3 linked regions of the Diceros bicornis minor genome follow. The protein of the gene in region 2 purifies or fractionates together with the protein of the main gene of each other region. This does not show direct contact. Links are inferred from orthologs where the notes say so. Each region holds a gene or a part of one and is shown on either strand. Other genes may lie near its edges. The genes, in order: CXXC1, WDR82 and SETD1B.

Region 1 (10,588 bases), on a different chromosome or scaffold from region 2:
ATTCCTAGAACAACACAAACTACAAAAATATGACTATAGAAGAAATAGAAAATCTGAATATACCTATGACAAGCAAACAGATTGAATTAGTAATTTAAAAACTTCCCACGAAAAAAAGTCCATCCCAAATGGCTCCACTGGTGAATTCTATAATGAATAATTAACACCAATTCTTTACAAACTCTTCCAAAAAGTAGAAAAAGAGGTAACACTTCCCATCTCATGCTATGAGGCTATTATTACCCTGATACCAAAACTAGACAAAGATATCACAAGAAAATAAAGCTACAGACCAAGATTCCTTATGAATATAAAAACCAATATTCTCAATACATTGCTAGCAAATCAAATCCAACAACATATAAAAAAGATTATACGCAATGACCAAGTGGGATTTATCCCAGGAATGCAAGTATGGTTTAACATACAAAAATCAATCTTTGTAAATATTGATAGAATAAAGGATATTTATAGAATATTTATAGAATAAAGGACAAAACCCATGTGATCTCAAATGACACAGAAAAGCATTTGACAAAATCCTACAGCCTTTCATGATAAAAAGAAAATTACTCAACACACTAAGAATAGAAGGGAGATTCCTGAACCTGATAAAGAGCATCAACAGAAACCAACAGCTAACAACATATTTAATAGTAAAAGATTGAATATTTTCCCTCAAGATCAGGAACAAGACAAAGATATCTACTTTCTGTTTCTAGAGATTTGCCTATTCTGGACATGTCATATAAATGGAATCATATAATATATGGCCTTTTCTGTCTGCTTCTTTTGTTTAGCATAATGTTTTCAATTCATGCATGTTTAGCATGTATGAGTACTTCGTTATTTTTACGGTGGAATAACATTACATTGTATGGATATAACACATTTTGTTCTTCCGTTTGTCAGTCGATGGACATTTGGATTGTTTCCACTTTTTTGGTTATTTGCTGCTATAAACACTGATGTACAAGTTTTTGTGGGGACGTATGTTTTTAATTTATCTTGGGTATATGTCTAGGAGTGGAATTGCCGGGTCAAATGGCAACTTTACTGCCAAACTCGTTTCCAAAGCAGCTGCACCACTTTATACTCCCACCAATGCATGAGGATTCCAATTAGTTCCAAGAGCCAAAATGGTATGGCCAGAGTTGGCTGACTAGACCTGAATAACACTGTAACCTGAGAAAATGTCAAGAGCGGTGAATTACTATAGGTTTCCCCAAAAGTGGAGTCAAGAGTTCTATGTAGTCAATCTGTCAGGATCAGGTGGGGCCAATGTTCCATGTAATGTGGTCTCCTTCACTGTAGACACACGGAAACTTTTGTCAAGAATCACAAACCTGTCGTGCAGTTGTGGCTCCTGCATCAAAAACACAGAGTTCTTTACCTTGTGCCCAGTTCCTGATGGTGGATGCACTGCAGTCTCTGGTGGTGATCTGAGCAGTGCCATCTTGATTGGCAGCTTGATTCCAGTCGATCTCATCAGAGAATATTCCCTTACCATGGGCGTCTACATGAGTGACCAGATGGTCTGATCAACAGCAGGTAGTTCACAGCCCCAAAGAAGAGTGTCTTACTCTGTCAGTCTGTACTCTTAAATGGGAGACCAAATAGCCTAAGAGTCAGTAAAAAAAACAACAGGTTCATGAAGTGGAGTGTTGGCTGGGGCTATGAAAATGGCTTTTGAATTCTTCCCACGGAGCACAGAGACTACACCTGCTTTTGATTCTGGGTAGCTGACAGTGAGATTTAACAGTGGTAGCAGAGTAGCTGCCACCCTTCCATCTAAAGCCAAGATGACCAGAGGGTTAGGTCAACTGCACTCAACAAGCCCTGTCTAGTGAGCCACATCCTATCTGGGAAAGAGATAGCAGTCTTTTCTTCACTCCAGAGAGAGTGAGCAGTGTGAGCACATAAATCCAAAAAACTTAGCATTAGGCCCCTAAATTTGGGGTGGGGGGGCGGTTATCAGCCTCCTGTGGGCAGAGGTATGATAATGCCTTGGGTCACTGACACTAAGGCTTTGACTTGCCAACCAACAGGTTATTATCTATTTAGTGAAAGCTTTGGAATCAGGATAGAAGCACTCGCACTAAATCCTGACCCACCCACTGGTGGCAAGGGCAGGGGAATTTGTCCCATAACACTTTCTACCTGTAGCTCTGTCCTAAAGGGGAGAATCTCCCCTGGAAGTTTATGAGCATTTATAGTACAAGCATATAACACATCAATTTCATTACACATTTGGCAGAGGAAGTTATAACAACAGTAGATTAATTGGCCAGAGGCCTCACCCATATGGTCTCTTTAATGGTCTCTTTTTTTCCTTTTCACTGTGAGTTTTGCCGGAACTCTATCAGGAAATCATGTTACCTTATGGCTGGGAACTTCAGGAGTGCTGGAGGGCAGTGGAGGCCAGGCAGCAGAGGTTGGCCAGCACAGCTGAGGAGCCTTTTTCATCCTTTGGCTCCTTGCCCACAGGATGTCTTTTCCTCCCCTGTGCTTGTCTTCCTTGGTTTGGGAGGAGTCCAGGGCATTCTACCAAGGCTCAGTTAGAAGGCAATAAAGCTTTGCCTACTTGGCCTTTGTGGAGATATATAAGGTCATCAGGGTTCCATGGTATAACTAGTCCCCTGCAATATTGCAAATATTAAACCAATTTTGCATTCTTGGGATCGTTATTCTTGGTATAAATACACTTGCTCATGGTGTATTATCCTTTTTATAAATTGCTGGATTCAATTTGCTAATATTTTGTTATGACTTTTGCATCTGTGTAGTAAAGAATTTAACCCTGTCCAAAGAGAGACCTGGCCTTTGCCCTCCTCGGCTTCTGGCTTCTGGGAGGTAATCTCTAAACCCTTTAATGTCACACCCGACAGGAGTATCTTTGTTTGCCTGGAGGTCTCTTGGTCACTGGATAGTCTAATAAGGTGATTTAAGGTGAGGGATTTGGGTCACATGGTATCAACTCAACCTCCTGAGGGCCTAGAAACTGAGTTCTGGCACACAGGCAGTCAATGGTGCCTATGTAATGGAACACCAATAAAGACTCTAGACATCAAGGCTCAGGTGAGCTTCCCCGGTTGACAATTCTCCATGCATATTGTCACATATCATCACTGGGAGCAGCTAACTCTGTCCATGAATCCTCTGGGAGAGGATAACTGGAAGCTCTGAATTTAGAACCCTCCTGGACTCTGTCTTACTGCTGATTTTAATCTGTATCCTCTCCCTGTGATAACTGTGAGTATAACAGCTTTCAGTGAGTCCTTCTAGCAAGTTAGTTGGGGACCCCCAAACTGGCAATTGGTGTCAGAAGTAGGTATGATCTCCTTACTCTTAAACTTAAACTTAAACCCTTAAATTCTGCAGTGGCCTCAGAAGTAAAGATGGTCTCTTGGAAACTGTTCCTCAAACTTTGCAGGATCTATGCTCATGGGGTATATTGGTCTGTCATTTTCTTTTCTTGTAATGTCTTTGTCTGTTTTGGTATCAGGGAAATGATTCCCAAAATGAATTGGGAAGTATTCCTTCCTCCTCTATTTCCTCAAAGACTTTGCATAGGATTGCTCTTTTTTCCTCCTTAAATATTTGAATTTACTATCAAAACTATTTGGGGGCCGGCCCCCTGGCTTAGGGGTTAAGTGCGCGTGCTCCGATGCTGGTGGCCCGTGTTCGGATCCCAGGCACGCACCGACACACCGCTTGTCCGGCCATGCTGAGGCTGTGTTCCACATACAGCAACTAGAAGGATGTGCAGCTATGACATACAACTATCTACTAGGGCTTTGGGGGAAAAAAATAAAATAAATAAAATTAAAAAAAAAACTATTTGGGCTTCGAGTTTTCTTTGTGGGAAGGTTTTTAATTAGAAATTGAAATAATTTCATAGTGATATGGCTAGTCAAATTTTCCATTTCTTCATGTGTTAGTTTTGGTAAGCTGCCTTTTTCAAGGAATTTGTCTATTTTATCTAAGTAGTCAAATAAATTGTATTAGGTTAGTATAAATGTGTGAATAATAGTCTCTTTTTAATATCTGTAAGATCTGTACTGATGGCTCTTTTTTCACTCATGATGTGGGTAATTTATGTTTTCTCATTGTTTTTTCCTAATTAAATAAATCATATTTAATTTAATAAATTATATTTCAAAATATAGTAATTGAATATAAATTTAGTTAAATCAATTTAATTAATTACATGACTATAAAATTTAGTTTAGTGAATTTGAATTAAAATTTAAATGTGGCAAATTAAATTGAATGAATTAAACTAAATCATATTAAATAAAATGTAATATAATAAATTAAAATTAAAAGATACACAATGACATCAGGGTTGAATAAATTAAATATTAAATTATTTAAACCAAATTACATTTAATAAGTCAAAATTCAATTATGTTAAATTAAATTTGAGTAATTAAATTTAAGTTAAACTTGAGCTATATTCCCTCAAACTTATTTTCATACACTCAATGTTAATTAAATTAAAATTGAATTATATAAAATTCATTAATTGATGTGAAAATAAATTTATCTAAGTACCTTACTAACACATAAAAATTTGATTATACTAGAGTTAATTTAACACATTAAATGAAAAACTAAATTTAAAGAATTAAATTATGTTAATTAAAATAAATTACAATCAAATTAAGATTAATTCGAAATTAATTGATAAATAAAAATGAGAAGTCATGCTGGATCTGAAGGTCTCTGTTTTCTGGATTAAAAACCCCTTTTAAGAGGAGAAGATCACAGAACCTTTGTTGCTGCCCATGTGTCTTGACGTCTGTGATGGTGTGGAAGGGATGGGAAAGAAAAATGTTTAGGAAAGGTGAGGAAAAAAAATCGGACCTCCTAAGCCACGAGCAGCAAAATCATCAGTAACAAATAAGTTGCTACAGTGTCCAGAACCAAGAAATCTAGAAAAACTGTTAGCCACGGGTGAAACATCTCATTCTCCCCAGAATCCTCTCCTCAACCCAAAATAAATACAGTCGTTCTCACTTTGAACATGGACATGTGGACATTTACTATGACCATGATTCCCATATCTAGGAAATAAGTGTTGCATATAAAATAAGTGCACATAAAATAACGCTAACATGTATCTCATTTGACCTCCATGGTCGCCCAGGTTAGATCATTATCCTGCAGAGATATCTAGCTCTCTGACCTGTACAGACTTTTTTTTTTTTGCTGAGGAAGATTCCCCCTTAGCTAACATCAGCTGCAAATCTTCCTCCTTTTTTTTTTTTGTATGTGAGCAGCAGCCCCAGCATGGCACTGACAGACAAATGGTGTATGTCCTGGCCTGAGAACTGAACCCTGGCCACTGATGGGGAGCATGTGGAACTTAACCACTAAGCCACCCAGGCTCTCCCCTCCCCGACTTTTTTTATTGTACACAATTTAAGTTCTTTAAAATAATTTTAAATTAACTTTATTGGAGAGAATATTGAATACTGAATTTGTATGAAACAAGAGAACCAAACTGGACATCACCAGGAACAAGACAAATCTACACTCTGCTGGTGGCAGGATCAGGGGAGAGGTTGGTGAAGACGATTGTCCCTGATTTCAAAATCTACTTTGTTCTGGCCACTTCTCTCACCAGAGGTGATCAGGCCACGATCGCGTCTGGCCTTCTTTCGTCGCTCGGGACTAATTCTGAGGGATGAGAGTGTTCCTGCAAAGGCCCAGAGGCTGAACCGTGCTAGGCCTGGCTGAGCAACTGCAAGGAGAGTGGGAAAGAGTGGCGGGAGGTGGTGTCGGAGATCTAACAGGTGGACTGGTTTCCTTCGCAGCGCAAGGCACACAGTCTTCTGGCGCCCCATTAATACATGTGGAAGGGAAAAGTGATTGAATAGCGGAATGAATACGACTTGATCGAGATAGTATTTCGGGATCGGTCGCTTTCCCTGTGAACTGGGCAGTGCAAGCTGCCGGCGTACGGAATCAACCACCAAGATGGCGGGGCCCTCGAGGAAGCCACGATTAGGACGCTGCCATGTATTGCCTCTGACCGTACAGACTAGGCCATTTTACGGAACCAGATTCCAAGATGGCGGCGTCCTCGTAGAATTCGCGTTGGCGCGGCCATATTGCCTGTAACGTCCGGGCCGTAAAGCAGTCACCGTACGGACTCTACCGACAAGGTGGCGGCGCCCTTGGGAAAGCAGCGTTATAGGCGCGGCCATGTTTCCTGCGAATGTATGGACTCGGATGCCATACAGTATCAGTAGTCAAGATGGCGGCGCCTGAGGGACAGGCGGGGCTCTAGGAGGGGGACCTACTTGTTTGTCGTTGAAGCCGACGCACCGGGCCTGCGCAATAGGAGTACGGTGCCCGGGAGGCGCGACCAGAGGCGGAAGTAGCTGTGGGCGCCTTTGCAACGGCTGCGGACGCTGCCCAGTAGTCTGTGTGGGTTCGCGGGTCGCTGGCGGGGGTCGCGAGGCGGTGCCCCGGGAGCTGAGAGATGGTGAGTACGGGTCCGGGGAGGGGGTCGGCAGTAGAGGTCAGTCGGGTTGGTAATGGTGGGGTCCGTCGGCAGACTCACGGGGGTCTGTGGGGAACCGTAACAGGAGTCTGTGGGCAGAATGGTGCGGCCTGTGGTGAGCCTCAGCAGGGGTCTGTGGGTAGTATGATGGGGGACTGATGGCCTGATTTTTTTTCTGCTGTGTGAGTTTTGTGGGAGTCTGGGAGTTCTGTGATGAGCCATGTGGGGATCCGGAATGGAAGTTTAGTGGGGATCCCTGATTGTAGTTCCGGGGGGCCCCAGATGGGGCTTCTTTAGGCAAAGTGATAAGGGGTTTGCGACGAGCCGTATTGGGCACTCAGTAGTGAGCCATGATGAGTGTATTAGGGGATCCGTAGGGAACCGGGATGGGGGCAGGGTTGTCAGTGGGGTTAATAACGGGAGATCTGTGGAGAGCTGTGTTGGGAAGTGAGTAAATCACGTTGGTGTCTGACAACCTGTGGTGGGGTCTGTGAGGAGCCATTTTGGGGGCAATATGTGGTGAGTGGTAGAGTGTAATGAGCCCTTATGAGTGTGTGGATAGAGTGATGGGGTGTTAGCCGGCTAAGTAATGGGAGATCTGGGGCAGAGTGATGGCGTTTATTAGCAGAGTAACGGGGTGTCAGGGGTGAGTGGTGGGGGAGGTCTGTGGAGACCGTGATGGAGAGGTTTGTGAGGAGCTATGATAGGAGGTCTGTTGGCAGAGTGTTGGGGTCTGTGGTGCGCCATGGCGGAGCTGTAATGGAGGAATGAGACACTATGATGGGCGTTCTCTAAGGAGCCATAATGGGGGACTTCCCACAGGAGGGGGATGGTTCAGACCCAGAGCCTCCAGATGCTGGGGAGGACAGCAAGTCGGAGAATGGGGAGAATGCGCCCATCTACTGCATCTGCCGCAAACCGGACATCAACTGCTTCATGATGTGAGCCGGGGAGAGGTGGGCGGGGCTGACACCTGTCAAGGTTGGGCAAGGCCATAGGTCCGGCCCCTCATATCTCCACCACTCGCCCCATCCTCTGCAGCGGGTGTGACAACTGCAATGAGTGGTTCCATGGGGACTGCATCCGGATCACTGAGAAGATGGCCAAGGCCATCCGCGAGTGGTACTGTCGGGAGTGCCGAGGTGAGGGGGGTGGAAAGGACAGGGCAGGCAAGTGGGACTTCCAGGGAGAAGGAGGAGCCATAATGGGAGGGTGGGTCGTGGGGAGTAGTGATATATGTTCTTGGGCAGAGTGAGTGTTGGTCTGTTGTGAGCTAAAGTGAAGGCTCCATTGTGAGCCATAATGGAGGGTCCCACCAGAGGGGGCAGTTCTGCCCTGGACTAGGGGGACAGAGCAGGTGGGTGGGACAGAAAAGGAGAGAAGAGGAAGAAGAGTTCTGGGACCATCGAAATCCTCCAATGTCACCCCCCGGCTCCCCGCTCTGCTCCATAGAGAAAGACCCCAAGCTGGAGATCCGCTATCGGCACAAGAAGTCACGCGAGCGGGACAGCAATGAGCGAGACGGCAGTGAGCCCCGGGATGAGGGTGGAGGGCGCAAGAGGCCTGCCCCGGATCCGGACCTGCAGCGCCGGGCGGGGTCAGGGACAGGGGTTGGGGCCATGCTTGCTCGGGGCTCTGCTTCGCCCCACAAATCATCTCCACAGCCCTTGGTGGCCACACCCAGCCAGGTGAGTGGCTGCAGTGGCTGGGATAGATAAGGTGATCCCACCTCAGGTCCTACTTGAGTTCCTGATTTCTGTTCTGGGTCCCTCCCCCCAGCATCACCAGCAGCAACAGCAAATCAAACGGTCAGCCCGCATGTGTGGTGAGTGCGAGGCCTGCCGGCGCACTGAGGACTGTGGCCACTGCGACTTCTGCCGGGACATGAAGAAATTTGGGGGCCCCAACAAGATCCGGCAGAAGTGCCGGCTGCGTCAGTGCCAGCTACGGGCCCGGGTGAGCCTGGGTGGAGTTGGGCAGGGTCAGGTGGGGTGGAGGGGGCCAGTGTGTCCAGGAAGAGCTAAAATGGGTGGGCCGGGTGGGGTGGGGCCTAATTGCATACAGACAGGTGGGAAGGAGCCTGGCCTGTCCAGATGAATGGGGCCTGACCAGGTGTGCTGGGCCAGCAGGGGAGCCCCCCAAACCCAGGTGGGCAAGATAGGGCCAGATGTTTCTAGGTGATCAGACATGTCAGGGCAGGGAGGGCAGGGCTGAGCATGTCCTGGTGATGAGGGGAGAAGGGGCAGGTGTGTCTGGGGAAGCAAGGCAGGGCTAGTTGGTGGGGCCAAGCACTTGTGGGAGGGGCTAGGGCAGGGCCACCCTCCATCTACCTGGGGCTGACCTGGGCCTTCCTCCTGCCGGCACAGGAATCGTACAAGTACTTCCCTTCTTCGGTGAGTCCAGCCTCCCAGAGCGGGGCAGGGCATGTGGGCAGGGCAGTCAGGGCCAGTCCTGAGATTCTGCCCTGCAGCTCTCGCCAGTGACACCCTCAGAGTCCCTGCCAAGGCCTCGTCGGCCACTGCCCACACAGCAGCAGCCACAGCCATCACAGAAACCAGGGCGCATCCGTGAGGATGAGGGGGCAGTGGCATCAGCAGCAGTCAAGGAGCCACCTGAGGCTACGGCCACGCCTGAGCCACTCTCAGATGAAGACCTACCACTGGACCCTGACCTATACCAGGACTTCTGTGCAGGGGCCTTTGATGACCATGGCCTGGTGAGCAGGCAGGGTCCCGTGGTGGAAGGGTAGAGGTTACAGAAGTAGAGAGTATCCATAATGAGAAGAGAGAAGGCAGAGGATGTGGAAGGCTGATTTGGGAACTAAATAGTTGGTGGGGTAGTCATGGGTGGTACAGATGGGCCAGTGTCTGCCTCACCTGCAGCCCTGGATGAGCGACACAGAGGAGTCCCCATTCCTGGATCCCGCACTGCGGAAGAGGGCAGTGAAAGTGAAGCATGTGAAGCGTCGGGAGAAGAAGTCTGAGAAGAAGGTGATGGAGAGGGTGAAATGGGTGTGGGAAGGCAGAGGGTAGGGTGGGGAGGGAGAGGCAAAGGCTAGGGGCCGCATGGGGCAAGAGCCAGGAAGGGGTGGAATGCAGGGGGAGATGGGTCTGGGGCAGACTTCAACTCCACCCTGACCTGAACTGCCTTGTCCCATAGAAAGAGGAGAGATACAAGCGGCATCGGCAAAAGCAGAAGCACAAGGACAAATGGAAACACCCGGAGCGTGCTGATGCCAAGGACCCTGCATCGCTACCGCAGTGCCTGGGGCCTGGCTGTGTGCGCCCTGCCCAGCCTGGCTCCAAGTATTGTTCAGACGACTGTGGCATGAAGCTGGCAGCCAAGTGAGTCATTCCTGGGGGGTTCAAGGGACACAGGGAGTACGGGGTAGGGCATGACCAGAGCCTTCTGTATGTCTGCCAGTCACCTGTCCCATTTAGTCAACTAGGCACCCACTTATCCATTCACTCACTCATCCATCTATCTGTTCACCCTTCCATCCACCATTCAGCTCATCCATCTACCACTCAGTCAGCTATCTACTTATCCTTTCACCATTTAGTCACCTATCCATTCTGCCATCCTTGGGTTATCCCACTTACTCATCTTGTTGTTTGCCACCTGCCCACACCCAACCCACTGCCTCCCTGCAGCCGCATCTACGAGATCCTCCCCCAGCGCATCCAGCAGTGGCAGCAGAGCCCCTGCATTGCTGAGGAGCACGGCAAGAAGCTGCTTGAACGTATTCGCCGTGAGCAGCAGAGTGCCCGAACCCGCCTTCAGGAAATGGAGCGCCGATTCCATGAGCTTGAGGCCATCATTCTGCGTGCCAAGCAGCAGGCTGTGCGCGAGGACGAGGAGGTAAGCAAGCACAGGCACAGCAGTGCAGGGCCCAGCACCTGGTCCTGCCCATCCTCATTGTTCCTTCTACCCCATGCAGAGCAATGAGGGTGACAGTGATGACACGGACCTGCAGATCTTTTGCGTCTCCTGTGGGCATCCCATCAACCCACGTGTTGCCTTGCGCCACATGGAGCGCTGCTATGCCAAGGTCAGGTGTTAGCCTGAGGGGTA
Region 2 (10,019 bases):
ATGCTGTGGCAGAGACCCACATACAAAATAAAGGAAGACTGGCAACAGATGTTAGCTCAGCATGAACCTTCCTCAGCAAAAAAAAAAAAAAAAAGTTCACCCTCTCACGGTAAAATCCTCTTGGAACCTAGATGCTAAACAATCAGATGACTCAGGCAGCTTTACGAGGTCAATCATTTGCACTTTCAATTTTTGTTAATGTCAGTGAGGTCAAGGGTTTCCCTACGTAAAACCTATCCAAACAAAACTTCTCACTCCAAATGCACTGAATTTTCTACATTCTTACCTTTACTGAAAGATCAACTAAAATGATCAGCTCAAAGGCTACCTTGTCGAGTCCACCATCCTGAGTTCTGCCATCGGGTTACTACGTGGTAACCAGCGAGTGAGTGAGCGAGTCTGAGAGCGTGTACGTGTGCTCACTCTCAAAAGATAATTGACTTTGCTTCTACCAGTGGAAAGAGCAGCTTACTTATCCTAGTATTTCAGTCTAAAATAGTGAAGACAGGGCCAGGCCCCGTGGCTTAGCGGTTAAGTGCGCGCTCCGCTGCTGGCGACCCGGGTTCGGATCCCGGCCGCGCACTGACGCACCGCTTGTCCGGCCATGCTGAGGCCGCGTCCCACATACAGCAACTAGAAGGATGTGCAGCTATGACATACAACTATCTACTGGGGCTTTGGGGGAAAAAAATATATATAAAAAAAATAATAAAAAAAAATAAAATAGGGCCGGCCAGGGTTCGGATCCGGGCGCGCACCAACGCACCGCTTCTCCAGCCATGCTGAGGCCACGTCCCACATACAGCAACTAGAAGGATGTGAAGGATGTGCAACTATGACATACAACTATCTACTGGGGCTTTGGGGGAAAAATCAATAAATAAAATTATAAAATAAATAAATAAATAAAAGAAAAGAAAATAGTGAAGACAGAGCCAGAAGAGACAAGGTTAAAGGGCGTGGTGTAAAGAAAATTTTTAGTTTCACTTATATATGACCTATTTGTCTCAAATTTATCAATAACACTAACCTGAAATTTGTTTTTAATAATAGAACTCTTTTACCTCATTATCATTTCCAAGTTTGAAAGTAAGATCCAAATGTATTGCATCCATTTCAGAGGATCTTTACAAAGCTCATGCACAACATTTTTTCACAAATATTTTGGTAAGGTGCTTTCCACAAACCATGATCCTGGTGATCAGGTATGAATAAATAATATTAAAGCCTTCTTTTTGAATAATTTGCATCACCTACCACAGATAATACCCTTTATATTCTTTCAAGTCGAAAAATCACTCAATGGATGAACTCCATTATAAAGAAAGTTTAAATGAACAGTTAACTGGAAAATATTAAGCATCAAGAATCCTGTTTTAGCCATTTTCAAACTCCCAAATTCTAACATTAGTACCATCTAAAAAGATACTATGACTTCCAGGGAACATTACTTGTCTTCCAATGCTGGTTTTACCTACACTAGTGGCAAATTTTTTCTTCATGTTACCACTTAGAATCATGGGCTCCTAAAGGCTAAAGAGGTCCTCTAATATCCAGGGAAGTGATCTGATCAATGTCATATACCTGGTCACAAGGCCAAACTAGAACCCAGGTCTCCTAATTACCAGGCCACTGTTGCCACAGATCACCATGAAAAAAGGTCACAATTAATTGATAAGGGAAAATTTAAAAGAGCATGTCCTACACTATTGTATCAATATTAAATTTCCTAATTTGGATAACTTTGCTCCGGTTACTTAAGAGAATGTCCTTGTGCTTAGGAAATCCATGTTGAAGTGTTTAGGGATAAACGGGCTCGATACCTTCAACTTATTCTCTAACGATTCAGGAAAAAATATGCATACCTATAAATATTTACACAGAGAAAGATAAAGCAAAGGGAGCAAAATGTAACCAATTACTGGGTCATATGAGAGTTCTTTGAAACATTGTTGTAACTTTTCTTTAAGTCTGTAATTATGTAAAAAACGCTACATGACTAAATAAACTGCATTTTTTCATAAAATTAACATTTTACTTTTAACAAGACAGGACTTCAAGTCACTGTCATCCCTCCCAACAAGTCAAAATTATGCCCCATTTGGAGACAAGCTGTGAGGGAATGCTATCATAACCTTCATTTCCTTTGAATAACGATATGCATCTCCACCCTCAGGTTCCAGGGAGAGGTTCTAATCTGTGCACAAGCAAAAAATATTTCAAGCAAGCCAGCTTCGAATTACTTCTAGCTCCAGGACCCCACAACTCCAACCCCACCTCAGCTTTACACGTTACTCTCTCTTCCAAGCTGATTCAAGTGGCCAGACCTGGACAGACATCCACCTACTAAATGAATAATATTGATTCAAATAACTCAGCATCCGTCCAGCTAACATCTCTCTTTCCCCAGAACCACCACTATAGGTCAGCCACTCTTCCACATACTGCAGGCAGGTACAGAGCCAGTTATATAATACTTCTTCATAGCCCCAGTGGGAAAAAACTGTGTAGGGTATTATAGCTCAGACCAAAACAGCATTACTTTAGATAATCAAATTCACAAATGAAGAGACAAGTTCCAAAAGAAAGTTTATAGAAGACGTCGGTAAAAAAAAAAAAAAACGGAAAGGGACCAGCTATAGAAGATAGAGAAAAACTCAAGGATTCAAAAAATAAGATCTGGAACTAAGTAACAAAATGAAGTCTGACAAAACCAGTACCCACCAAATTAAACCAAACATCCCAAGCCTGCTTGTGGAAGGCGGCTGAGGAGAAATCAAATTTAGCCTAAACCAGTTGCTGCTCCAAAGGAGCTCGCAATTTAACAAGGACTTGGAGAAAACAAGTCTACAAGGGTGAGGTGAAGCTGACAAGGTCCTGAGGGAAAAAGGCAAAATGCTGTGCTTATAAGATTTTGCAGAGATGCAGGTGTAGTGGGTCTGCAGAAGACTTGGAGCAACATAGAAATTTCATGATCAGACTCGGAATTTTGATAAATCCGAGTGGGTCATAAAGTATAATTTTTTTTAAAAGTGTAAGAGGAAACACGAAATTGTTATACGATGCTTTCTTTGTTCTAATGGGAGGTTCACATTCAGGTCGGAATGGGGCGGCCAAGCTCGTTTGTGTCTGGCAGAAAGGAAAAGTTTTTCAGATGCTGTAAAAAAGTTAACTAGAAAAGCGGGCATCGGGTCTGAGGGAGTCAGAGAACGATTTGGAACAGAAAGAAAAAGAATGGGGGCCCAAAGAGGCACAACAAACGGATCCTGACAGCTAAGAAGTGCAACCCGCGCGGCCTTCTGGCGGAAAGGCCGCGGGAAGCGGAGGGGCAGGGCCGGGCAGAGTGCCAGGCGGAATCGAGGTCACGGAGGAGTGGGCAGCGGGAGCGAGCTGACGCCGAACGAGGCGGGAGAGCAGTCCGGGGCTCCGTGCGGGGCCCGCGCCGACGGTAGCTCTGACAGAGCCGGAGAGCTACCTGCCAGGCCGGGATGGGCGGACCCGGCGTTTAAAGGTCAAGGTCAAGGTGGGGTTTGGCAGGCGATGCAGAAGCCTTCTCTGGGGACACCGAAGACATACAAAATAATAATATTACTATCATTATTTGAACAGGAAAAGGTCTCCTGGACAGCTTCGGAGTGGAAGCGGCCCTGGCAGGAGCGAGTGCAAAACAGGCCGGGGCCGGAGCGGGGCGGAGGGCGGGCCGCGGCGGGCGCTGGGCCCCGAGAGGGAGGGGACACAGACCCGGGCCGGGGCCGCCGCCGCACTCACTTGCCCTCCTGGCAGTCATAGAGCACGATGGAGTCGTCGTCGCTGCTCGAGATGACCGTCTCGCCGTTGGGGCTGAAGTCGAAGCAGTTAATCTTGTCCGAGTTCTCGCGGAAGACTTTGGCGACGCGGAAGCTCCGCAGCACGCTGTCGGTCAGCTTCATGGCGGCGGCGGCTGGAGGCGGCGGCGGCGGCACAGGGCCGGGGCGGGGCCCGGCGGCGAGCGGGCGGGCTGCCGAGGAGCCGACCCGGGCGGGGCGGGCGCCGCGCCGGCGGCGAGCGGGTGGGGAGCCGACAGTCAGGCCACCCCCTCCTCTCCGTGCTCCTGCTCGTGCAACGCTCTTCTGCCTGCACTATGGGGCCTCGCCGACAGTTCCTCGCCACACTCGCTTCAGGGCCAACCGGCGCGGCGCCGGCTCATTGTGTCCGCCATCTTGCGGCGACAGGCAGAAGCTGAGGGCGAGAAGCCTCACCGCGGCGCACGCCGGGAAAGGGGGCGGGGCGGGAACGGCGGCGCGAGGAGGGGAGGCGGGCTGGTGGCGTCAGCGCTGCCGGCGAGGAGTGGAGTGGCTGGGTGGTCCGGCGCAGCGATTCCCCAGCGCGCTGTGGGGTGGGGCGGGAGGGGTGGGGATGCACACCACCTTTCCAGTTGAGCTCGAGGGCCGCTGGTTCCCCGGAGTCGTGGGCCTGTGTGCGGGATCGCAACCCCCTGAGACACTCGGGCGCCGCCTGCAGGCCCCCTAACCGAGAGCCACGCGAGAGCAGGTACTGCGGGGGTCGCCTACGCCCCTGGAGGCTTGTTCTGGGGCGGAGTCAGTCATCCCATCACTGGCGGGCTTTGGCCGCTCGTGCACCACAGCGCCAGCATGGAGTTTCAATTTCTGTATTTTTTTATTGAGGTATAATATACGGTAGGCTGCCCAAATTTTAAGTGGATGAATTTTTTTTCATTTGGATATACTACATCCTTGTGACCACCACCCAGAACTTTTCTTTAAGCCTTCTTTAAAAACTTTTAAATTGATATATAACGTAAAGTGCATAAGGTGAACTAATTTTGTGTACAGCTCAACACATTTTTATAAATACTTATCTTTAAGTTTTAAAATATATTTTCAGCTCCAAAACTCATAGGATCATTACAAAGAAATTTTTAAAAGGGAAGATTATCTCATTATTCAACAAAATAGAAGTTTTAAATTCTCCCGACTTCCTCCTCCTTATTCATATATCTACATAAACTTTATAGATGCAACCATTTTTTTTTCCTGCTTTAGTATTGTGTCTTACACATTTTTCCATGTTACTAAACAGGATTGTTGTTGGTGTTCTTAATCGAGGTATAATTTATGTACAGTGAACATCAGCCTTTTTAATGGATAGTTTCATTAATTTTGACACCCATATACAGTCATGCAAGCACCAACCACCACATTCAAGATGTACAACAGTCATAGTCAATGTGACTATGTACTCATAGTCAATGGGATTGTTTCAGAGTTTCATATAAGGGATTCTTAACCTTAAAAGGAAGAAAGTTGATCCCTAACAAAGGAAAGCAATATCTGATCACAGAATAGGTACCACGCTCCATGGCTTTAACTTTCTGGGCAAGGGGTTAAAACTCCATGCAGCCTATGAGACTTCATAGATCTCTAACTTGTGCACAGCTCCTCAAAAGGTTAATTGCTTGGAGTCTCCAACAACGAAGACAGAGGCCTATTTATTTTCTTCACTAAAATGCAGTGGCTAAAGAGGAAGCAAAACAAAGAGGAAAGACTGTAAAATATTTCAATCGCTGATATTAGGAAGATGTGCTATCCAAAGATCCAGACATTACCTGGACAATGGTAAAAACAAAACAAACCCTGGGACAGTTGGGGGTCTTTCTGGAAAGAACTAAGGGTTGTGTCCCATCCCCTGGGTAAAAGAAGAGCCAGGATCCCTACTCATAAAGAAAAGTTGTTCTCTGAGGGGAGAGGGCAAGATCCTGCCCAAGTCAGGGCTTCAATTGCCTCCTGATAAAGAGTAGAGCTTCTGGGTACAATTTGTTCTGGGATCTGGAAAAAGCCTGTCTGAGTGAAATGCGAATGGATGGCAACCTTCCAAACTGCAAAGTGACGAAAGAAAAGTCCTCCATGCCCCAGAGCACTCACTTCCCTGCAATTCCTGCTTCTTTATTTCACAAGCTAGAAAGGCTGATGTAGAGCCTGCTTTGAATAGTGAAATGGCAACAAGGACAGATCGGGGCCATGTCCTGAAACTGTTGGGAAGTGAATACACTCAGTGAGATACCGTTTTTTGGTCCTTCTTAACCTACAAAAATAACCACAGAAATAGCCATAATCTACTGAACGTTGTCAGCCAAAAGAAATCTTTGCAGGGTATCTTTCAAGTTTTGTACTTCTTGTACCTTTCCCAGATTTCACTAAGACCGACTGAAGCTTCCTCCGAAGACTTGACTTCCTGAATTATGTTTGGAATGGAAAAAGTCATTTTTTCATATTTTAAGAGCAACCTGAAATGCCTCAGCCTGTTTCACATTCTCACTGTTACACATTTCTGGCCTGGCTCCCTGCTCTGTTATAGTGGGGCTCTCCTGGCTTCCGATCCAACAGTGCCTTAAAGGCTGGACTTTAAAAAAACCAGAAAGAGTGGCTCCTGTGGGAGGTGAATGGAGGGGTAAGCTGTAGTCAGAAGTGAATCAGATTGCCTTAAGGAGCATCAGACTTAATTTTTTATTTTTCCTTTCCTTTTAATCATGATTTCTTTTATTTACTTAATTTTCACACAAGTAAATACACATCTATTGCAGAAAAACTAAAAAATACAAATAAGCAATAAAAAAACAAACATAGCATCCAGAAGTAGCTACTGTTACATTTGTTTTTATTATGGCAAAATATACATAACATACATTTTACCATTTTGATGTAGAACTTGTCAGATTTTTTCCCCTGAAATATATTTTTAATGGGTTCATAATATAATATTATTTATAACCTATCCTTTTCATATAATACTATGAACATCTTCCAGGTCAATAAATACAGAACTACACAATCATTTTGAATAGCTACATACTATTCCACCATGTGTTTGTAAGTTAATTTTGCTTCCCGTTGTATCTAGAGCCCAGCCAGGGTCTCCCTCAATATATATTGTTTTTGTGTGTGTGTGAGGGAGATCAGCCCTGCGCTAACATCCGTGCTAATCCTCCTCTTTTTGCTGAGGAAGACCGGCTCTGAGCTAACGTCTATTGCCAATCCTCCTCCTTTTTTTTCTTCCCCAAAGCCCCAGTAGATAGTTGCATGTCATAGTTGCACATCCTTCTAGTTGCTGTATGTGGGACACGGCCTCAGCATGGCTGGAGAAGTGGTGCGTCAGTGCGCGCCCGGGATCCAAACCTGGGCTGCCAGTAGCGGAGTGTGCGCACTTAACCGATAAGCCCACTGGGCCAGCCCTCAATATATTTTGTTAATTGAATAAATGAATTTAGTCAAAGGATTCCAGATATTTGATTGGTCCATTTATTTTTTTCCCATTTTTTTCTCTCTCTTTTTTTAAAGACTTAATTTTTTTAGAGCAGTTAAGAGGAAGGTACAGAGATTTCCCATATAACCCTGTCCCCAAATGCATAGCCTCCTCCGTTATCAACATCTTCTGCCAGAGTGGTATATTTGTTACAATGGATGAACCTGCATTGACACATCATAATCACCCTAAGTCCATAGCTTGCATTAGGATTCACTCTTGGTGTTGTACATTCTATGGGTTTAGACAAATGTGTAATGGCACGTATCCATCCTTATGTTATCATAAAGAGTGTTTTCACAGCCCTAAAAATCCTCTGTGCTCTGCCTATTCATCCTTCCCCAGCTCCCAACTCCTGTCAACCACTGATCTTTTTACTGTCTCCATAGTTTTGCCTTTTCCAGAATGTCATACAGTTGGAATCATACAGTATAAATATACTTTAAAAACTGCTCATCTGACACTTAGGAATCAATCACTAGCTGGTGATGTTACACGTGGAGAAAGTGAAGCATGTGTAGCCAAAATAACAGTTATCATACACATAACAGAATACACATAATAACAATTATATACACATTTTTACTTATACACATCATCTCAATCCTCACAACAACTCTATGAGAGATGCAATTATTATCTCTATTTCAAAGATGTGCAAATAGAGGCTAAGAGAGGTATTCCAGTAGCAAGTGGCAGAACCTAGATTTATCTGTAGATAACTACATATATATGTGAAGCTAGACAATAAACATGCATAAATAGAGAAGAGTGGGTGGGAATTGATGGGTAAGTAGACATATCTGAACATACATGGAGAATGATGTGTGGACTGGAAAATAGATAAGGATGTGCAAACCTTTTCCTCCATAACCATGACCTCATGTCTGTAATTTAGGACTTTGGATGTGGCTGTGTTTGAAATTTGAGCTCAGAACACTGAGTTATGTCTCAGTAAACTTATTTCACTGTTCAGCAGTGAATCAAAACTCCATTGCCTCCTCTTATCACTCACCTATTTACCTGGATTCCAGGAAAACCAGTCTCAACACTAGGAATTAGTTCTAGCATTTGGCATCAGTAGCAGATAATGATATGTAAATAACTTTGTATTCTATAGAACTGTTCCCATGTGTCATCTTCAAAATAAAACTGCTCTTGCTAAGATCAACAAAGATCTTCTAGTTGCCCAATCCAGTAGTCACTTTTCAGTGTTTATCTTCCTGGCCATATCTATGACATTAACAGCGTTGACCACTCTCTTCCTAAATCGCTTCTCCATGGCTCCCTTGACATCATTCCATTCTGACTTTCCTCTCACCTCTCTGGACACACTCCTTCTTGTCTCTTCCTAACTGTTCTTTGGTCACTCTGTGGCAGACATTAATGGTTACCTACCCAACAGTTTTCTCCTCTTGCTCCTTTCTGATGGAATCCTGATTTTGTTCAGGTATCCTTCCTCCTCTGAGTGGCAGTGTATTTGCCAAGAGTTGAGCCCAGTGCTCTGAGATAAATCCTGATTAGTTTAAACTTCTCATAGTGTGGTCCCTGGACCAACAGCATCAGCTTCACCTTGGAACTCATCAAAAATTCATTCTCACACCAGACCTGCTGAACCCGAAGGTCTAGGGGTGGAGCCCAGCAATTTGCATTTTGTTTAAATATTAACTGTTTTTTTTTTTTTAAACTTTTTTCTTATCTTTTTTCGCTCAGGACGATTCGCCCTGAGCTAACATCCATGCCAACCTTCCTCTATTTAGTATGTTGGTTGGTGCCACAACATGGCTGCTGACAAGTGGTGCAGGTCTGTGCCTGGGAACCAAACCCGGCTGCCAAAGCGGAGTGCCCTGAACTTAACCACTAGGCCGTGGGGCTGGTCTCAGCAATCTGTAGTTTAACAAGCCCTCCAGGTGATCCTCATGCATGTTCAAATTTGAGAACTACTAGTCCAAGCCAATCATGAGGAGTGGTCTTGTTCCCCTTCCCAGTGATGGGACTAGGCATGCATATGTGATGAAATTTTTGGTAATGAGAAATGAGAGGAAGTCTGCTGGAGGAGGAGGTCTTGGAAAAGTTTCTTTGCTTCTAAAAGAGATACAAGTGGGGCCGGCCCCATGGCGTAGTGGTTAAGTGCGTGTGCTCCACTGCTGGTGGCGCAGGTTTGGATCCTGGACATGCACAGATGCACTGCTTGTCAGACCATGCTGTGGTGGTGTCCCATATAAAGTAGAGGAGGATGGGCACAGATGTTCGCCCAGGGCCAGTCTTCCTCAGCAAAAAAAAAAAAAAGAGGATTGGCATGGATGTTAGCTCAGGGCTGATCTTGCTCACACACACACAAAAAAACAAAACAGGGGCCGGCCTGTGGCATAGCAGTTAAGTGTGCATGCTCCGCTGCTGGCGGCCCGGGTTTGGATCCCAGGCGTGCACCGACCGAGGCACCACTTGTCAGGCCATGCTGTGGCGGCGTCTCATATAAAGTGGAGGAAGATAGGCACAGATGTTAGCCCAGGGCCAGTCTACCCCAGCAAAAATACGATTGGCATGGATGTTAGCTCAGGGCCGATCTTCCTCACGAAAAAAAAACAAAAAGAGAGATACAAGGAAGAGATGATTCCTCTTCATCTGAGGAACACTGTTGTGCTAGATGTGATGCCTGGGACTGCTGTAGCCAGGTTTGACCATGAAGAGAGCATCTCAAAGGCAAGCCAGCAGGTTGA
Region 3 (9,954 bases), on a different chromosome or scaffold from region 2:
CTGGGTAGGTGGGGGATCCCGAATCACGGGCCATCATGGAAAAGCCTGTGGAGCTGGGGACAGGCCACCATCCCAACTCAAACTACACAGGAGGAAAAACTGTGCTGGCTCCCCGCCTGCCAAAAGCCAGTGTTCCCTTTGCCCTGAGGCTTTGCCACGTGCTGGGGGCGGGCCGGTGGGGGAGGAGCCCAAGACAGCCCAGCCCCCACTCCCTGCAGCCACACTGGAATGGAAGCCAACTAGTGTGAAGCCTGAATGTGAGGCCGGCCCCCTTAATCGCACTTAATCCTCCCTCCACCCTTTGCAGCATCCATCATTATCATTTCACTTGGGAGACTTGCCCAAGGTTCACCAGCACGGCGAGATTCAAGCCCACGGCCACCTGACTTAGAGCCTCCCTTGATTAAGCACCAAGACGCCTGGGTCAAGCTCTACAGGTTCCCCCAAACGTCAGTTTAGCCCTCACACTGAGGGGTGGGGTAATAGTGGGCAGGGCTGATCCCACACGGAAGCCAAGCTGCGGCCCAAATCAGGAGGGCCCTGTGGATCAGCAGCACCTGGACCCAAATGGTTCATCAAAGTAATCTCAAACTAGAGATCACATGGGGGAGGGGCCTGAGATCAAGGGCCATAGCGTCTCCAGCTGTGGAGCTTCCTGGAGACAAAAGAGGATGGAACTGTGCGCAGTCAGCTTGTGTTAGAAACGGGAGAGAGTTGCCGTCGTCACCAAGCTAACAACTCTGTGCCAAGCACTGAGCTGGGGGCTCCAAGTGCGTGAGCTTACATCTTCCTCGCGACACCCCAGATGTTACCAAGCCCAAAGGTTCTCAAAATGTGTTCCCAGGTGAGCTGATGCTGTTAGAAATACAAGTTCTCAGGCCCCACCGACTGAATCAGAAACTCGAGGAGCGGGCCCAAAATCAGTTCCAATTACCACCCTCCTCCTGCCCCCATGATTCGGATGCACACTCAAGTTCGGGACTCAGTGACGGAGCCCCATTTGTGCAGATGGGGAAAGAGAGACTGAGCAGCTTATGCAAAGTCACAGCAGGTGAATGGCTAGCCAGGTTTCAAACCCGGATTCGTCCGATTCTAGAAAGAGGGCTCTTTTGGGGTGGGGGCTGGGGAGGGAATCATGGGAATTCCCAGAAGGGGGAGACGAATCAAGAAACCTCCTCAGAGGAAGGTGACCCAGTTCTCAGGTCCTTCTGTTTACCTCCCTAGCAGCCTGACACTAGAGGCCGGCTCATACAGTCACCCTACACGTCCCCACTGGGGGCCGGAAGGGAGGGCCAGACTTCCTGGCAGCCGCCTGGGCCTTTCAGAAGTAAGAGGCTTTCAGAGCCCTCCCCCCACCAGCAAACACACAACTGGGAAATACTTGCAAGTGCAGCCTCTCCTATGCTGCTAAATACGGCCGAGAATTGCACGCCCCAAACTCCTGACAACAGAAGCTGACAGGCGGGGATGGATGGACCGAGCAGGCCCAGCAGGCAGCCGATTTCACACACACGGTCCCACACATCTGTGTGGGGGAGGGGCTGCCGAACCAGCCTAGCGGGTTTGGGGTGCCCGCCCTCCCTGGGCTCCAGGCCAACGCCCCCCAAATCTCCCTCGCAGCCTGGGAAAGGGCTCACACCTACCTTAGTGGGAGGATTGTCCGAGTCATACTAGGCCTGCTCCGGCTGTCCAAAGGAGGACTGTCCACTCTGGGGGCACCAGGTCGGTTGCCCCTTCTCCGGACAAGAGCCTAGGGGGAAAGTCGGAAGGTCTGTTAGGGAGTTGAGGAACACAAACCGGAGAGGATGTCTTTGAGGGAAGGGGAGCCTTACAAATGCCGTCCCCCCTTCCCAGCTCCCAAGGCGGCCCTCACTCTGGAAGGGATAGGAGGGGGGGTGGCTGAGTCACCAGGGTTCAACCCGGGCGACAAGCAGCAGGAGGCGACTCATCTGCATTTCCAAAGGCCCGCCCAGTCCGCATCCCCTCCCCCAGGAAGGGCCGGAGATGTGAGGGTTTACCCCAGAGCCCTCCGCCTCGGGGGATCCCGGGGAAGGCCCGCTCAGCCTTCCCAGGCCCCAACCCCCACCACAGCTCTAGAGCCTCGGGGTGGAGGGCGTGCCGCGGGCGGCCAAATCGGGGCGTCGGCGGCCTCCTTGAGGGCCTCACACCCAAAGTGGGGACAAAGGGGCTCTCCGCCCCTCGGGCTCGGCTATCCAAGGACGCCTGGGAGCCAGACATGGGCGCCCAGGCCCGGGTGGGCAGCGAGGACGGCCCGGGGGCAGGGCCGGGGCGCGGGGGAGGCTTCCGCGGCCTCCGGAGGAGCGGGTCGGGGTCAGGGGGCGGCCTCGAGGCCCTCCCCGGCCCCGTGGCCCTCTGCTACTGGCTCGCGCGCGGGAGGAGGAAGGGCCCCCGCCGCCCGGCTTGGGCGCGAGGCCTCGTGCCCGCGTGGGGCCCCGAGTCGGGCGCGGGGTCCGAGGCAGCGGCGGAGCCCGCGCCCGCCGTCGAGGCCTCGGGGCCAGGGGCGTCCTCGCAGGCGGCGGCCTCCCCTCCCCCCGGCCCGCCGCCTCCTCCCTCCTCCCGCCTGGCGCGCGGCGGCCGCCACCGCCCGAGCCGCGGGCGGCGCGCGAAATGGCGCCCGTCTGGCCGCCTCGCCGGGCGGAGGTGAGCGCGGGAGCTGCGGCGCGCGACGCCCCCGGGCCCGCGGCCCCCGACACGGCCTCCGCGACCACCCCCCGGCCCGGGGCGCTATGCGCTGCGGGCTCTCGGGGCCCGGCCCGGCCGAGGGGCCGCCACCTGCGCCGGGCTCTCAACGCCCACCGGGGAAAGAGGGAGGCAGGAAGAGAGCGGCCGCCATTAGCCACCGCAGCCTGGCCGGCCCGCCCGCCAGCCCCGGCCCGGCCCCGGCCGCGGCTCCGCTCTGAACCTGAAAATAAAACTCGAGTTGGGCAGGGAGGAGCGAGCGCGGCCGGGAGCACAGGCAGCGCGCGGGCTGCAGGCGCGAGAGATGCTGCGTCATGGTGCCAACATGGACGCCGGCCTTTGTCCTTTTTGCTTAGGAAGTGCAGGCGCGCCCCGGAGCCCCGGAAAGCCGGCTTCGGAGGGCGAGACCCCCCCCAATCAAAAGGGAACGAGGCCCTGGGCTGGGGGGGAGTGGGTTTCCCTGTCTTTTGAGCCCCTCCTTTGCAAAGCACTTTAATTTCTTCTCCACACCAAGGCTCAGACCTAGAAAAGCGAGGGGGACGAGCGCAGGCGACCCCGTGGACGCCCGAGGTCGCTGGGGAGGCCCTCCTCTCGCCTCCGGGGCAGAAGGGGCAAAAGGGTTTGAAGAGCCCACCTTGTCCCCCTACCCCTCCCCGATCCGGCTGCCAAACATAAAGCTCCAGAAACCTCCTTCTCTCCTCAGCTCCCAAACATTTGCAGCCCTTGGCCTGCTCGAAAAAAGATTTCCTCGAAGGGGCAAAAGGCATTTTTTTTTTTTTACTCACCCGCTCAGCCCGGTGCCATGGAGTCTGGAAGATCAAGCGGGGCGGAGGTTTTGAATATCTTTTGGGGGGATTGTTTAGTTGGGAATATTTGAGGGAATGGTGGTGTCTTTTTTTGTTGCTGTTACCTTTTTGTAAGTTACACTCTCATGGCATTTTCTGCTCCTTCCACTTCTGCAAACTTTCCAGGGTTGGGTTGGCAAAAGGCGGCTTCGCAGGACTGTTTACTGCTCTGGATATAGCAATGGTGTGACCGTCATTAAGAGACAAAAGGCGAAAATACACAGTCAAATCAAACAAAAGGCATAAGACGCACCGGCCATCCCAACCACCATAGAAAATACCCGCGTTAACGTTGGTGTTTGGCTCGAACCAGCTAGGACTTGTTTTCCAGTTTTAATCTAGTTTCCTGTGACGGCTTTAGTCTCTTTACACAAAGAGAAGGTCTTCCTTTCCCTCACCCACTCCCCTACCAAGACGACAAAAACAGAGCTGTTTTTCTTCAAATAGATCGATTTTCAAAGAAAGTGTACATGTTACTGGGAAGAAAGCTGACTAGCATTTATGGCTGTAAACATTTTCAAAAGCTTAAAGCTAAAAAACCTTAGCTTTATAAAAGCAAAATCGTCTAAAAGCATTTTAACTGGCTTATATTAGACAAGAGCGACAAAGACATACATGCAGATGAAGGTTCAGAAAATTAAGGACATCTCAGCAACATTAACATGAAAACTGCACTGCGTAAGGACAGAATGGATTGGGTACTTACAATGTAAAAGGTTTTTAGAAACTTAAAAGTAACAATTGCTTACAATTTTTTTGTTGCTGCCATTTCGCTAGTCCTAAAACTATACATTTAAAACATTACCTTGTTAAAAAGAGAGCAGAAGGAGTTAATAAGATGGCCAGGTTTAAGTGTTTAATAGAGGAAACTATATATATTTAAAAATTTATTGTTCAGTCAAGAGAATACAGATTAAGACAGCTCCAAGCTCCCCCCACCCACCCAAGAAAAAAAGAGGAAAAAAAATTAAATATGTCATTTACTTAGGTTTTTTGGAATTCAAAATTGTTAACTGCTGACATTAATGGTGTGCTATGACCTAGTTATACAAGACAAAGATGGATTCCAAGTCATAAGGAAAAATCCAGATCTTTTTAAAAAGTCTTCTTCATTCTTCCAATTGTGAGTCCTTTAGCCTGTTGACAAATGTTAAACAGAACACTGAGGCGTCCTGAACTGGATGGTGGAGTCAAAGGAAAAACATTCCCCATTTGCAACAAAGGAAAAACCCACTTGGCCATTTAATTCCATTGCAGAAAAATGGCTCCCCTCATCTGTTGGCCTCTCCTTGGTGTCTGATGAAGGATGTTTTGAGACCAGCGTCTAATAACTCAAGCCCTATAGAAGCCGCGCGCTGATTGGCTGCCGCGCCCTGCCGCCCTGCTCCAGCCAATTACCTACCCACGGCCAAATTACAAACCCCGAAAAGAGCCCCAATATGAAATACACCACCACGAAGCCCCGGCGAGGCGGCTCCTTCGCCTCGGCCGCCCGAGAGGAGAGGCAGAGGGGGCTGCAAATGCGTCCTCGCGAAGCCCGGGAGCCTCGGAGTTGAACTCACAAAATGGAAGCCGCGCGCTGATTGGCCGCCGCCACTCCCGGACCTTTAATAAAGAAAGGGGAAGGAAAAGATAAATGCAAAAAAGGGGGACTCTCTCCTCCGCTGGTGGCTGGAGGAAGAAGGAGGGGGGGGAGACAGAAGCATGTGTTCAAGACAATTACAGGGCGCTCCTCTCCAAAAATAAAAACAGAAAGAAGCTTCTATCACCCAGGTCCAGGCGAGGGCTGCATCCTCCCAGGAATGTGAATGCTAATTTGGTTAAAATCCTGGTTTCCCCTCCCCAGCTCAGCTCCAGGGGGGAGGGGGTCGCGGGGCAGAAGAGGAAGCCGGCGCTGAGATACCTCGATTGCAACTCGTCTTGAGTCGTCTTGCCTCTCCCCACGGCTCCCAGCGTCCAAAGACACAATCCCACACATATACACACCCCAAAACCCGGCCCTTCCCCCGGAGCCCCCGCGCGCCCACCTCCGGTCTCGGCAGTTTGGAAACAGTTTTGGAGGCCCGAGGTGCACGCCGCGGCGGCCGCGGCTCGGAGGGTAGCCCCAGCCGCGGGAGGTAGAGCCTGGGGAGACCCCCTCCCCCGCCAGCCAAGCCCCCCACCTAAGTCCCAGCAGAATAAATAAATTAAAAGGCCTTCCCCCGGGGAGGGGGGAGGCAGTGTGGGAGCGCGCGAGTGAGGGGTGGGGGGCCGCTGGGGCCCGGGGCTTTGGCGGCGCAGCTGCCGCCGCCGGGAGAGTGCCTGGGGAAGCGGCGAGGAAGGAGAGGGGAGGAGGAAGAGGAGGAGGAGGAGGAGGAAGAGGAGGAGGGTGAGCGCTCGGGTCGGGCTCCTTAGCGGTGTATTGTGGGATGTGCGGCTACTGGGAGCCGAGCCTCCGCCGCCAGCCGCCTCCCGGGCAGCAGCAGCAGCAGCAGCAGCGGCGGCGGCAGCAGCTCCGGGCCCGGCAGCCGCGGCGGCGGCGCCCCCCCGTCCCGGCCCCCCGTCCGGCCGCCCCGGCCTCGGCTCCCGCGGGGGACACCATGTACTGGCTGGCGGCGCAGGGAGGCCGGCGCCCGGCGGGGATGTAAGCGCGGCCCAGGGGGGAGAGGCCGCGGCCGGCAGCCGGGCAGCCCGAGCCCCCAGCCCCGGCCCCGGCCGAGCGCGCGGGCGGGCGGGCGGGCGGCGCCAGGCCTGCCGCGAGCCCCGCGCCCGAGCCGGGCCGAGCGAGCGAGCGAGCGCCACGCCGGGCGGCCGGGCGGCCGGGCGGGCACCATGGGCCGGAGCCCGCGTCCTCCGGGCGCCCCGGGCGCCGCCAGCCCGCACCGGGGGCCCCCGGGAGCCCCTCGCTGCCGCCCCGAGACGGTGGCCGAGCGGGCGGGCGCCTAATTCTCCCGGAAGGGTTATTCTCTCGCTCCATTCTTATTTTGGGGGGAGCCAGCGAGACAGCTCCTTTTGGGGCGCGCTGGTAAGGTGGGAGGGGGTGGGGGCTGGACGATTTGATTCTCTCGCGTGTGTGTAGAGCGGCCGCCGCCGCCGCGGCGGAGACGACAACAACTTGCTCGATTTCAGGTTGGGTTAACGGCATGGAGAACAGTCACCCCCCCCACCACCACCACCAGCAGCCCCCGCCGCAGCCCGGCCCTTCGGGCGAGAGGAGGAACCACCATTGGAGAAGTTACAAGTTGATGATTGACCCGGCTCTGAAGAAGGGGCATCATAAACTGTACCGCTACGATGGGCAGCATTTCAGCCTGGCGGTGAGTAGCCGGCGCGCCGCCCCGCCGCCCCCACCCACCCACCCGGCCCGGCCCGGGAGCGGGGTCCGAGCAGCCCGGGGCCCCCTCCCGACCGCCGGGCCAACTGTCAGCCGGAGTTTGACAAGTGCCTGGAGAAGGGGGGTCTGCCCCGGCCCCGGGAGCGGGACCAGCCCTCCCATTCCGCCCCCCGTTCCTCCCCGCAGATGTCCAGCAACCGCCCGGTGGACATCGTCGAAGATCCCCGGGTCGTCGGGATCTGGACCAAAAACAAGGAGCTGGAGCTGTCGGTGCCCAAATTCAAGGCAGGACCCCTCCCCCTGACCCGCGCTCGCCCCCCCCTCCCCGCGCCGCGAGTTCGAAAATAACGCCAGTCCTGGCCGAGCCCAGCCGGATTCTGAGTTCCCGCCGTCCGGGCCGGGAAGTTTTGGCGGGGCCGGGGGGGACGGCTGCGAGAGGGTGTCCCCTCTGGGCTGCTGTAAACACTCGGTGAAACTAAGCAGGGCGCTGATACAGTGTGCTGTCCGCCCAGCTGGGGGCTCCGGGTCCCCACCTGCCTCCTGCCAGCCCGGGGACTCAGCCCCGGGACCCGCCCCCCTTCCCAGCCTTGTGGCTTTAGGGGGACAGCTTCCTAGCCCCAGGGATCGCCCCTGACCCGGCAGCAGGGAGAGGAGGCCAGAATGGGGGGTGGGGAAAGAGAAACTGTTTCTTTTTCCCCTTTCCTTTCGAACCCAGAGGACTTCCACGTTCCAAACGATTTAATCCTCCGCTTCCCGGGCCCGCCCGCCTGCATTTTTTTTTTCCCCCAAAAATTTTTTTATTTTTTCCCCTTCATTGTTTTCAACGGGCAGGCGAGTGGGGAATGTCGTGTTTTCCCTTCGGTTTCAATGTTCTGCAAACTCCCTTCCCCCTCGTCCCCTGCCAGATCGATGAGTTCTATGTGGGCCCGGTGCCTCCGAAGCAGGTGACATTTGCCAAGCTGAATGATAACATCCGCGAAAACTTCCTGAGGGACATGTGCAAGAAGTATGGGGAGGTGGAGGAGGTGGAGATTTTGTACAACCCCAAGACCAAGAAGCACTTGGGCATTGCCAAGGTGGTCTTTGCCACGGTCAGGGGAGCCAAGGAGGCGGTTCAGCACCTGCACAGCACTTCCGTCATGGGCAATATCATCCACGTGGAGCTGGACACCAAAGGTGAGTTGGAGGCCGGCTGCGGACTGCCCACTGCCGAGGAGCCCCGGGACCTGTCCATGTGACCCTTTTCCCTCCCAAAGCCCCTCCTGCAGTGTTGGGGACCCCCTGACTCTTCCTTGGGGGCCCCCTACCAATTGTATTTTTCCCCCTCCTGAGGGTAGAGTCACGTGGAGCTAAATGTGTTGTCTGTTGCTAGGAGACAAGCTATAATTTACCAAATGTGCCAGTCCTTGGCCACTGCACCCCCAGGGACCACCCGGAGGCTTCCCCACTGCTGACACCCCCGTGGGCCCCTCTCCCAGCCCTGGTGGCCTGGGTTGAGACAGTCCCCAGTGTTGCTAACTGTGTTAGGGGAGGAGGCAGTGTTTGTTTATTTGTGGGGGGCTGAGGGAGAGCCACCAGGATGCCGTTAAATACATAAAGAGTAGGTCCCTGGACTAAAAAGAGAGTCCTCTAAGGATCCAGGGTCCCTTTCCCCTTGGAAGTGGGAACCAATCTGGGCCCAGAGTGTGGTTTCATTGATCATGTTCCATAGAGTGGGGAGGGCTGCTCTGGGTGCTCAAGGGTTGACACTGTGTCTTCCCTCCTCTCTCTTAAAGAGACAGCACCACCTCCCATGCACCGGAATCTCACTCTGTACTCACTCTGAGTGGCTGCCGGGAGAATCGGGGAGAGCTGGGCTGGGGAGGCCATACCTCCCACCCTCAGGGTCCTGGGAGGCTCCTCCTGGACGCTGGCTGGAGGGGCTTGAAGAACTCTAGGGCATCCCCCAAAGTTTGCCTGTGGCTTCTCTAGGGAAGTTCCCACTGATAGAGAAGAAGGTGCCAGGTGCTCTGAGGACCAGCCAGCCCTGTGACTGGGCAGACACTGTTGGGTCCAAAGCTCCTGGGGGTCCCCTGGGAGGGCTTAGGTGGGTGGCTTCCAGGGGTTTTGTGAGCATGGGGTTTAGGGGCACCCAGGGCACACCAAACCCCAGACAGGAAAATCTAAACCTTTCTTTTTTTGTCTTTAATAATGAGTACATGTTGACTGAGTCTCTTAAGACCTTTCTGGGGGTTGTGGAAGGAAGCTGGTCCTGGGCTGGCAAGGTTATCCCACAAACTCTTGCCAAGCCCGTCGCTAATTCTGAGTCTCCTTCAGGGTACAATCCAGGTTCCTGCCCAAGCCACAGCCCCCTGACCCCCCTTCTCTAGCTTCTCAATCTCTGTTGGGGGGAGTATGGACCCTTTCAAATCTACATATCCCTTGGGTGGCTGCTGTCAGCTCTCACCAAAATTTCATTTCTGCAAAAAAAACAGGGGAGCCCTCAGAGGCTGCCAACTAAGTTTGTATTTCAAGAAAGAGACCGGTAAAGTGTAAAGAGTAGCTCAAGGAATGCGTCTCCTTTGCATATGTAAGCAGCTGCCTCAGAGGGCTCTATAAATATCGATAATCTGGGGCCCCCTGGTCTGCAGAGGCCTCTCTCTGCTGGGGGGAGGAGGGCTACCAGACAGGGCTCCGTGGGACCGGCAGAGCCGGGGATCCTGGTCAGAGGAGGAGGCACATGGAGTTCACAGGAACGTGGTGCTAGAGAGTGTTTTACAAACTCTGCTGGTCCCCTGGCTCTGGAGAGTTAACAACAAGCTGTCACCTCTGTGTCACCAGTCTCCTCTCCACTTGCTACAGGGCCCTGGCTATTAAGTGGGAAGGCGAGGGGACAGGGAAGACCTGACTCTTTTTTTGGGTGCCACGGCCCAGGTGACAGGAAGGGGCTTTGTGTTGGAGGTGGCCTTTCTGTATTTGGGGGAGTCCCAGCCCCACGAGGCATTAAATTCTGAATCTCGGGATCAGACAAATCATATAGTCGAGCAGCTTTGTTGAACAGATGAGACTCCTGAGTAAGGTGCAAAGAGATGGGGAGCTGGTCAGGGTCACACAGTT

The links.
Region 1: the proteins of WDR82 (region 2) and CXXC1 purify together in Homo sapiens (affinity purification with western blotting; 7 studies listed by BioGRID and IntAct, with this or other methods). This does not show direct contact. The link is inferred for Diceros bicornis minor from reciprocal best matches to the Homo sapiens genes WDR82 and CXXC1.
Region 3: the proteins of WDR82 (region 2) and SETD1B purify together in Homo sapiens (affinity purification with western blotting; 4 studies listed by BioGRID, with this or other methods). This does not show direct contact. The link is inferred for Diceros bicornis minor from reciprocal best matches to the Homo sapiens genes WDR82 and SETD1B.

The regions. Positions count from the first base shown.
Region 1 is NC_080755.1:42,776,940-42,787,527, reverse strand, and holds the start of CXXC1 (CXXC-type zinc finger protein 1), read left to right. Parts: upstream 1-6,362; 5' UTR 6,363-6,493; coding exon 6,494-6,496; intron 6,497-7,336; coding exon 7,337-7,455; intron 7,456-7,555; coding exon 7,556-7,656; intron 7,657-7,966; coding exon 7,967-8,202; intron 8,203-8,293; coding exon 8,294-8,470; intron 8,471-8,880; coding exon 8,881-8,907; intron 8,908-8,984; coding exon 8,985-9,230; intron 9,231-9,396; coding exon 9,397-9,504; intron 9,505-9,673; coding exon 9,674-9,858; intron 9,859-10,167; coding exon 10,168-10,375; intron 10,376-10,454; coding exon 10,455-10,565; intron 10,566-10,588. UniProt on the Homo sapiens protein: Transcriptional activator that exhibits a unique DNA binding specificity for CpG unmethylated motifs with a preference for CpGG.
Region 2 is NC_080741.1:52,931,688-52,941,706, forward strand, and holds the start of WDR82 (WD repeat-containing protein 82), read right to left. Parts: upstream 4,215-10,019; 5' UTR 3,930-4,214; coding exon 3,769-3,929; intron 1-3,768. UniProt on the Homo sapiens protein: Regulatory component of the SET1/COMPASS complex implicated in the tethering of this complex to transcriptional start sites of active genes.
Region 3 is NC_080774.1:8,198,657-8,208,610, reverse strand, and holds the start of SETD1B (histone-lysine N-methyltransferase SETD1B), read left to right. Parts: upstream 1-5,959; 5' UTR 5,960-6,168; intron 6,169-6,400; exon of another isoform or gene 6,401-6,549; intron 6,550-6,653; 5' UTR 6,654-6,667; coding exon 6,668-6,841; intron 6,842-7,044; coding exon 7,045-7,143; intron 7,144-7,763; coding exon 7,764-8,034; intron 8,035-9,954. UniProt on the Homo sapiens protein: Histone methyltransferase that catalyzes methyl group transfer from S-adenosyl-L-methionine to the epsilon-amino group of 'Lys-4' of histone H3 (H3K4) via a non-processive mechanism.